2 linked regions of the Xenopus tropicalis genome follow. The protein of the gene in region 1 interacts with the protein of each later gene in a biochemical or structural test. Links are inferred from orthologs where the notes say so. Each region holds a gene or a part of one and is shown in the gene's direction. Other genes may lie near its edges.

What was found.
Region 2: the proteins of lcat (region 1) and apoa1 form a complex in vitro, tested with the Homo sapiens proteins (6 studies listed by BioGRID and IntAct, with this or other methods). The link is inferred for Xenopus tropicalis from reciprocal best matches to the Homo sapiens genes LCAT and APOA1.

What each region holds. Positions count from the first base shown.
Region 1 is NC_030680.2:76,578,167-76,581,926, reverse strand, and holds the end of lcat (phosphatidylcholine-sterol acyltransferase), read left to right. Parts: intron 1-124; coding exon 125-349; intron 350-2,057; coding exon 2,058-2,584; 3' UTR 2,585-2,995; downstream 2,996-3,760. UniProt on the Homo sapiens protein: Central enzyme in the extracellular metabolism of plasma lipoproteins.
Region 2 is NC_030683.2:82,228,106-82,232,495, forward strand, and holds the start of apoa1 (apolipoprotein A-I precursor), read left to right. Parts: upstream 1-1,555; 5' UTR 1,556-1,581; exon of another isoform or gene 1,582-1,603; coding exon of another isoform or gene 1,604-1,621; intron 1,622-2,468; coding exon of another isoform or gene 2,469-2,486; coding exon 2,487-2,526; intron 2,527-3,066; coding exon 3,067-3,223; intron 3,224-4,171; coding exon 4,172-4,390. UniProt on the Homo sapiens protein: Participates in the reverse transport of cholesterol from tissues to the liver for excretion by promoting cholesterol efflux from tissues and by acting as a cofactor for the lecithin cholesterol acyltransferase (LCAT).

The sequences.
Region 1 (3,760 bases):
GGGAAATGTTAATGTCCAGTGTTACTGGTCATCAAATATTCATAAATGTATGCTATTCCAACAAAATGGAAATCAAAACCTTTCAGGAATTCCACTGCTAATGCTTTTTCCCCTTGTTGTCTAGATGGACAGAAAGAATACTTTGAGAAACTTAAGAGCCTGATAGAAGAGATGAGTAATAAATATAATGAGTCAGTCTTTATCATTGGTCATAGTCTTGGCAATTTGTACCTACTTTATTTTCTCAACCATCAGCCACAGGAATGGAAAGACAAATATGTAAAAGGATTTATATCCCTTGGAGCTCCTTGGGGAGGTGCTGTCAAACCTCTGCTTGTACTTATGTCAGGTAAGTGTAAATACTTTTTAGGAAAGAAGTTTTTATTACACTAAGGGCTCTGGCACACGGGGAGATTAGTCGCCCGCGACAAAACTCCCTGTTCGCGGGCGACTTATCTCCCCGGATTGCCATCCCACCGGCGAAAATGTAAATCGCCGGTGGGATGGCATACGCGGCGGCACGATTTTAGTGAAATCGCGCAATATGCCTCGAGAGGAAACTTGCGAGATTTCACTGAAATTGCGCCGCCGCGCTTGCCATCCCACCGGCGATTTACATTTTCACCGGTGTGATGGCATTTTGGGGAGATTAGTCGCCCGAGACACAGGAGATTTGTCACATCTCCCCGTGTGCCAGAGCCCTAACATGGATTTATTTAACTTTTTGACTTGTTTATAAATCTAAAATACTGTGGTGTACTACCCTATGGGCCCTGTTAGGTTCAGTAGCCAAACAGGACATCTATAATGAATCCATACATGAGTTACTGAAAAATATCATTAATTTACTAGTAACAATTTTATAAGCAAATAGTTGGTAGTTTCCTCACTAGTTTATGAAGTACCTGGGCATTAAATTAACATATTACAGAGTATGCTTTAACTGTTATCCTGGTATAATAAATCTTGCCATCATTGGTGGGTTAGGAGTCGGGTAGTAGTTGCTATGCACCAGTATACTGTTATAAGGGGAAAGAGAGCAACCTCCCCTTAAAACAGTTTACCAAAATAGATTAAAGGAGAAGGAAAGGTAAAAACTAAGTAAGCTTTATCAGAAAGGTCTATGTAAATACAGCCATAAGCACTCACAGAAAAGCTGCACTCAAAAGAAACACAGAATTTCTTGTCTTCTTTTGTTTACACATGTTCTTCAGTGTCAGACTTACAGCTCTCACAAAATCCTTTAGGGCACAGGAACAAGACTGCTCGAATTGCTCCTCTCTTTCTTTCTCCCCCTCCCTTTTCCTCCTCCCCCTCACATCAAAATTCACTCCCCCTCCTATCAGAATTCACTACCAGCTAAAGCTGCAGCACAGAAGCTACTGAGACCAAACTAAATGGCAGTTGCTCTGTTAAACAAACAGAGGGAGCTTCTAGGGCTGTTTACTCAGTTATGGCAAAGCTTTCTGCAAAATAAATATAATCTTCTAGCTTGTACTAATGTGGCTAATCTATTGGCAATAAAATGTCAAAATGCCTTTCCTTCTCCTTTAAATGTTAGTTTATAAACATGCAATTCAAGGAAATATGTTGTGGTTTTTAACTTTTGCCCACTGGCCTTATAACTGATTATTTTGCACAGGGTGCCTTATATACTAATGCAGGTCTTAATCTCAAAGATATCTATAATTTTAATAAATAGCAAAGATTTTCAGTGGAATAAAAACAACAACATTTATTGGCTCAAATTAACAAAAACATAACTCATATGAAAAGCATACTATACCAAACAATGACCAGGTGCATCCTAATCTCCTAACGCGTTTCGCACCGTGTGGCGCTTCATCAGAGGGACCTCCATTGTTTGGTATAGTATGCTTTTCATATGAGTTATGTTTTTGTTAATTTGAGCCAATAAATGTTGTTGTTTTTATTCCACTGAAAATCTTTGCTATTTATTCTTATACTGATTCAGGACTTATTCAGTGGGATATAACTAGTAGATTCCCTTTCTGAAATCTGTTTACTATTTAATATCTATAATTTTCAATTTGTAGGAGACAATCATGGCATTCCAATGGTCTCTAACATAAAAATTCGCGAAGAGCAACGCATGACTACTACAAATCCATGGATGCTCCCAACAAACTTAGGATGGCCAGAATCCCATGTCTTTATTTCTACGCCTTCTCGGAATTATACTTACAAGAACTACCGGAAGTTATTCCATGACATTGGGTTTGAGGATGGCTGGTACATGTGGGAGGATACAAAGGGGCTGCTAGAGGGACTTCCCCCACCAGGTGTTGAAGTATATTGCATCTATGGTACCGGGATCCCTACTCCAGAAACATACATTTATGGGGAAGGTTTCCCAAATGAGCCTGCCATAGACATCAAGTATTCAGATGGGGATGATACAGTGCATACAAGAAGTATGGAGCTGTGCAAGAGGTGGATCAGTCAGCAGAAACAGAAAGTGCACATCCATGAACTTCCTGGGATTCAGCATCTTAACATGGTCTTTAGCAATGAGACATTAACTCTCATTAATGATATACTGCAGGAAAGCATTCTAGACTGACAGAATGAAAAACATTGAGTCCAAATAGGAAGCAAAAGCAAAGGACCCTGCAAAACTGACAACATGTTCAGACAGCCATCATTACAGATGTACTTTACTTTTACAATATATTTGCAGATGGTCTTTTAGATATGACAGAGTATGTGCAATATGTAGCACCAGTTAGCAAGAACCCTCTGCATTTTAGGACATTATAATATTAATGTGTAAGGCTTTAGAAAGTGAAGAAGATATTTACTATGGTTAAATGGGATGAACATGATACTGTTATGTGAAGGTGTTTTTTCTTTAGTTGCTATTCACTGAAATATAGTTAATCGCTTTTATAAATTCATGGGACAATTAGCATCTTTGTTCAATATGAGCCAAATAAATTTGGTGATGCCTTCTGGCCATTTCTGTGCCGTTCAATGTGCGATCTTTCTTTAAGTACTGTTTGAATGTGTAGCCAGCAAAAGATCTGCATTCTATAGATATGTAGTTGATGCAAATGTGAGCAATAAACATAAACAAATGACAAGGAAATTTTACAACACTAGGGAGTTGCCTATATGATAGTCACTACCCAGTAAGCAAAATCACTAACCCTTTGCTTTGGGTAATTATGTGGGGTAATTACTGGGTAAGGCTTAGGTTGGTGCATGTGTACTCCAAGTTCCAAGAATAACTACACTGCACTTGCGCAGCCAATGCAAAAGCAGAGTGTTTTAATTTCCTTGTATTTTAAGATACAATAGCTTGCAAAAGTATCCTCTTGTTTTACCAAATAACAAATTCTACAACAAAGTGTCTGTTTCAGTTCAACTGAGAATTTATTGCATTAACGTATTGTAATTATGTGCAAATAAGGTTCACAAATTAATGGCAGAGCCTGTAAAAACATTTATAGAGATAATAATAAGAAGAATAGTAATAGATTCAAATAACAATAACTATATAGAAGGTTATGTTATAACATAGTGTTTTTTAGGTCTAGTAGCCAGAGCAACCACTCATGAGATGGCATTTATTGAGCTGCTGTTTAAAATCAAGAATCTGAATGGTTGGTATTGGTTATTAAACCTGGAATAAACTTTTTTTATTTTATTAAATAACCCTATAAGAGACTGGGAAAGGGGATTACTTTTACCACTGCACCACCTTTGCTTTCTGACCCAGTTTAATAAACCTGCTTCC
Region 2 (4,390 bases), on another chromosome or scaffold:
TCATATTAGCATAAACCTGTCACTAAAAATCCCCTGGTTTTTGAAAATACATGAACAGAATATATTACTTATAAACCATGGGACAAGTATATGTGCAATGACCCTTTTTATATTATATTTAAGGAAACCATTATGTGGTTTCACTAAAAATAATTATGCAGTCTTTTTGTTTGGTGCACCATATGAATCATAATGCCCTAGGACACAGGGCAAGGCCAAATTGGCTGGGCACCCTAGGCAACCTGACCTGCAAACCTGGCAGACACACACAGGTGCACAATGGACACGCACATGCAAGCTGACTATGAGCCGACAATGGTGTGGGGTAAATTAAGAGCGGGCAGTGGGGAGGCAAGGGCTGTGACAGGGGGTAGATAAAGGAGGATGTACGTGCCAAGCACCCCACAAATATTGTGCCCAAGGCATGTATCTTTTCTGCATCTACATCTAGTTCAGGCCCTGCTAGGACATTATACTTTATAGTATTAGATTGTACAACAAAGAGTCTGGAACTAAATAAACACTACACCATTTTTAACCTACACTGAAATTCTCTTTGATGAAGAACCACCACCTAAAAAATGTATAGAAACCTGCCATAAAGTGTGTAAATGAACAAAATAGGTGCAATTTTACTGAGAAATAGTTACCTGTCAGCAACTGGCTATGTATTAATCATTACTTTTGCACACATTAAGTTAAAAACTGCCTTTCTTACATATATATTAAAATCTACACTGACCCCACACAATTAGCTTAACGCTTTTCATGCTTACCAAGCACTTAATCATAGGCTCCCTGTGATTAAGTGCTCAAATCTATGATTAAGTGCTTGGTAAGCATGAAATGCTTTAGGCTAATTGTGTGGGCTCATTGTAGATTTTAAAACATATGGAAGAAAGCAGTTTTTAACTTTAATTTGTGCAAGAGTAAAGATAAATATTTCATTACCCATGTTGCTGCTATGGGTTTTCACAAACCCATAGTCCTCTAGTTGGGCTTCAAGTAGAATATTAGCAATTAGCTCTGGTCATCAAAATCAGCATTGATGGCCCACTGTGGTTCTAGCTAAATAGGATTTTTAAACCTTCTTAAGAGATATCTGGCCAGTGTTCAACCAGGTATCAGTCAGACAGCTGACAACTTGAATTTGGGGGAAAAAGTCAGCGGCTAATGTTACAACATTTCTTCCAAAGAACTTTTTCTTAAGCATAAGGCATTAATGTGAAATCTTTGATACAAAGGTTTACACAACAAGCCCCATCAGTATATGAATGACAGAAGGAATATTTTGTTATATGATATATCTTAGAAATGCATGAATGCCTAGATTTTCCACCATGGCTCTGAATTTAAGCTTGTCAAATAGAATGAAAGGTCTTTTGTGGTGATACAGAGATAAAACCAAAGAACCTTGTTATTTCCCTAGTACATCATCCTGAACTTTAAACCCACAGCTCCACGTCACATTCTGCAAATCCTGCTTATCTCAGCTGATAAGGTGAGTATCCATGTATACAAGGGTATAAAATGCATGCAGTGACTAGCATCGATCACAGGAGCAACTAACCAGCAAAGCAGGTAAGTTCTCAGTCCACTCTGGATGTCTTTAAACCAGAAGGTATTGGGGGGAAAGGCATTGTATGACAGATTGAATAGAAGAGAGTTTAGGTTGTTTGGTTCTGTAACAGAAATTTGTTTTCAGGGTTTATATATTCTTGATAGGGTAGACAGTAATATCTATTGTTTTTCCCTGTCACTGTTTATTTGCAGGTTAAAGACAATTTCAGGTTGAAATTAGAAATAGTGACTTTCCAATTTTAGTGGAAAATGCATATTAAGCCCAATCTGCAAAGGTAGCTGTTCTTAAAATACAGTTGTCAGCAACTTCCGTCAGTCTTTGATGGTGGATGTGGGAGTTATAGTTGAAAAACTGCTGTACAGCAAATGGGATGTTCCTGACAATATTAAATATATCACTAGTTACATAAAAGTACATTTTTATCTTTAGGAAATTGTCCCTTGATAAGGTGGATTCAGGGCATATATTGCCTTACTCTAAAACCAGCCCTCCCTCTGCCAGCCATGCAATAGCTGGAGCACCAGAGGTTGCTGGTTCTTAAACCAATGTGGGTCAGTTGTAAAAATGAACATAAAAGAGAGACTAAATATTTTGTAATGATAAAGGTTTTTATAGAACTAAGATGTGCCAGTTAAATTAACATAGTAGATGTTTTGTGATGGTCTGGACCACTAATTGCCCTATTTCATCTCCATGCAGACTGCACTGAGACATGTGTCTGTTGGGTGGGAGTGCAAGGTCCCTGCATGCGTTTTTCATTCTTATATACAGTAAAGATTATGTAATTCAGTTGATTTGCTCATTGGAATGTGCCCATTAACATTCTACATTATATGCCGGGCATTTTAATTCCCCTTTGTCCTCAGACCAGTGTCCTGTTTTACAGGTTGGAGAGTTTGCAACTATGAAGAACCTAGTCCTACTAGCAGTACTGTTCCTCTCAGGTATGTAGTGGTGTTTCCTATATTTGTGTGCTTGCGATGCTCCCTTGTGGCTCTATATGAACATCTGCTATGTTTGAACACTAGAAATTTCAATCTGTTGTCAACTAGAATTTTACTAGTTAAGGCAGATTTCAGCTGCCACTTTGACCCTAGGGCCAAACAATCTCATTAGCACAATATTTCCCACCCAAGGGGAAAAGATTTGCTCCTTTGGCAAACAAGCAAATCTTACTGTTTATGGCCGCCTTTAGTTCTGAAGTTGAGCAACCAGGCATATTTGGGTTAATGTGGGTTAATGTCTAATGTGAAGCCGAATTACTTCTGCTTTCCAGAGTTTAGTTTGTGACTTCACCAATTCTCTATGGAAAAACAATCACTAAAATTAATTTCTACCCCCCAACTGTTCAGTATCTATCACAGTTATACAGCATACTTTTCTATCTATATCTACAAACCATTGACATTTAGGGGAAAAATCACAGTAGTAGTAGTAATCCATAGCAACCAATCTAAACTTACATTTATATTTTGCTTCTGCAGGAACACAGGCAAAGTATTTCCCTTGGCAGCATGAAGAGCCCCACACTCCAGCCCAGCAGGTGCGGGAAGTCTTAGAGAGCTACGTACACAAAGTTCGGGACTTGGGCAGAGAAGCTGTGAGCCAACTGGAGACCTCTGATCTCGGAAAACAACTTGAGTAAGGCCCTGTTCTTTATTATTATTCTTGTTGGTGGTGGTAGAGAATAATGGTAAAGGCAGAATGGCTATATGTTACTATTTGACCAAATTGGGGGAACAGAACTAGAAAACTTAGAAGGTAATGTAAAAACAGGCACAACATTTGTTCCAGGTCTAGGAAACAAACATCAGACCAGTATATGCTACCTGCTAATTGGTTGAAATGGTTAATAGCTATGGAACCTCCTCACATATATCCTATATAAATATCCTTAATATTTGTAAGATAACTAAGCACCACTGACCTATGGGCCATGACATAACTTACCTGCCCATCTGTATTCACTGGATTTGCTGCATGTAAAACTCTTTACATGCCACGATCCCGGATAAATATTACACATGAATCCATTTATATGAATAGGAAAAGACTAAAAAGATAACAATGAGAAGGTGAGTATTTATTTTCAGGAAAAGGTGCAGTCACAGCTAACACAAATGTATGTATAATCAAAACACATGTAGGGCTGTATGGTGTAGATACTTTTTGACAAAGTGTGCAGGGGATGCAGTGAAACTGTAACAAAGCAACTTTAAGGTAGTTTTTTTTTTATTTCTGGGCGTTTTTAAATGATATTCTCACACAATTTGCAACTGGTGTTTGTTTTTATTTTTTGTAGTTTAAATTATGTATTTTTGTTGTTCAGAAACTGCATTCTGAAATTGATACTATTTTTTGGCTGCTAGGGTCCTGCTCACCCTAGCAATTAAGTTCTGGGTTACACTAGGCATAATGGACCAATAATCATTTCCCAGTATACAAGCGGAGATACAAGCAGAGATAGTCAGTGGTCAATTCATTTTCCTAGCAGCTGGTAGACAAGGACAGTGTATGTTATGGGATTTGTTTTGCCTACGCTATCAGAGTGTTATATTTAACTCTTCCATTTTCATTTTCAATATATAGCCTGAAGATCACTGAGAAGCTTGACACCTTTGGTACCAATGCTATGAACCTGAGAAAGCAAATAAATCCCTATGTAGAAAATATCAGGGAACAGGTGTCCAAAGAGCTAGAAAAGGAACTCCCAGTAATCAAGGAGAAAATCCGCCCCATCCTGGAAGCTTTCCAGAAACGTTGGGCTGATGATGCAAAGGCTTACCAGGAGAAAATCTCTCCCCTGGT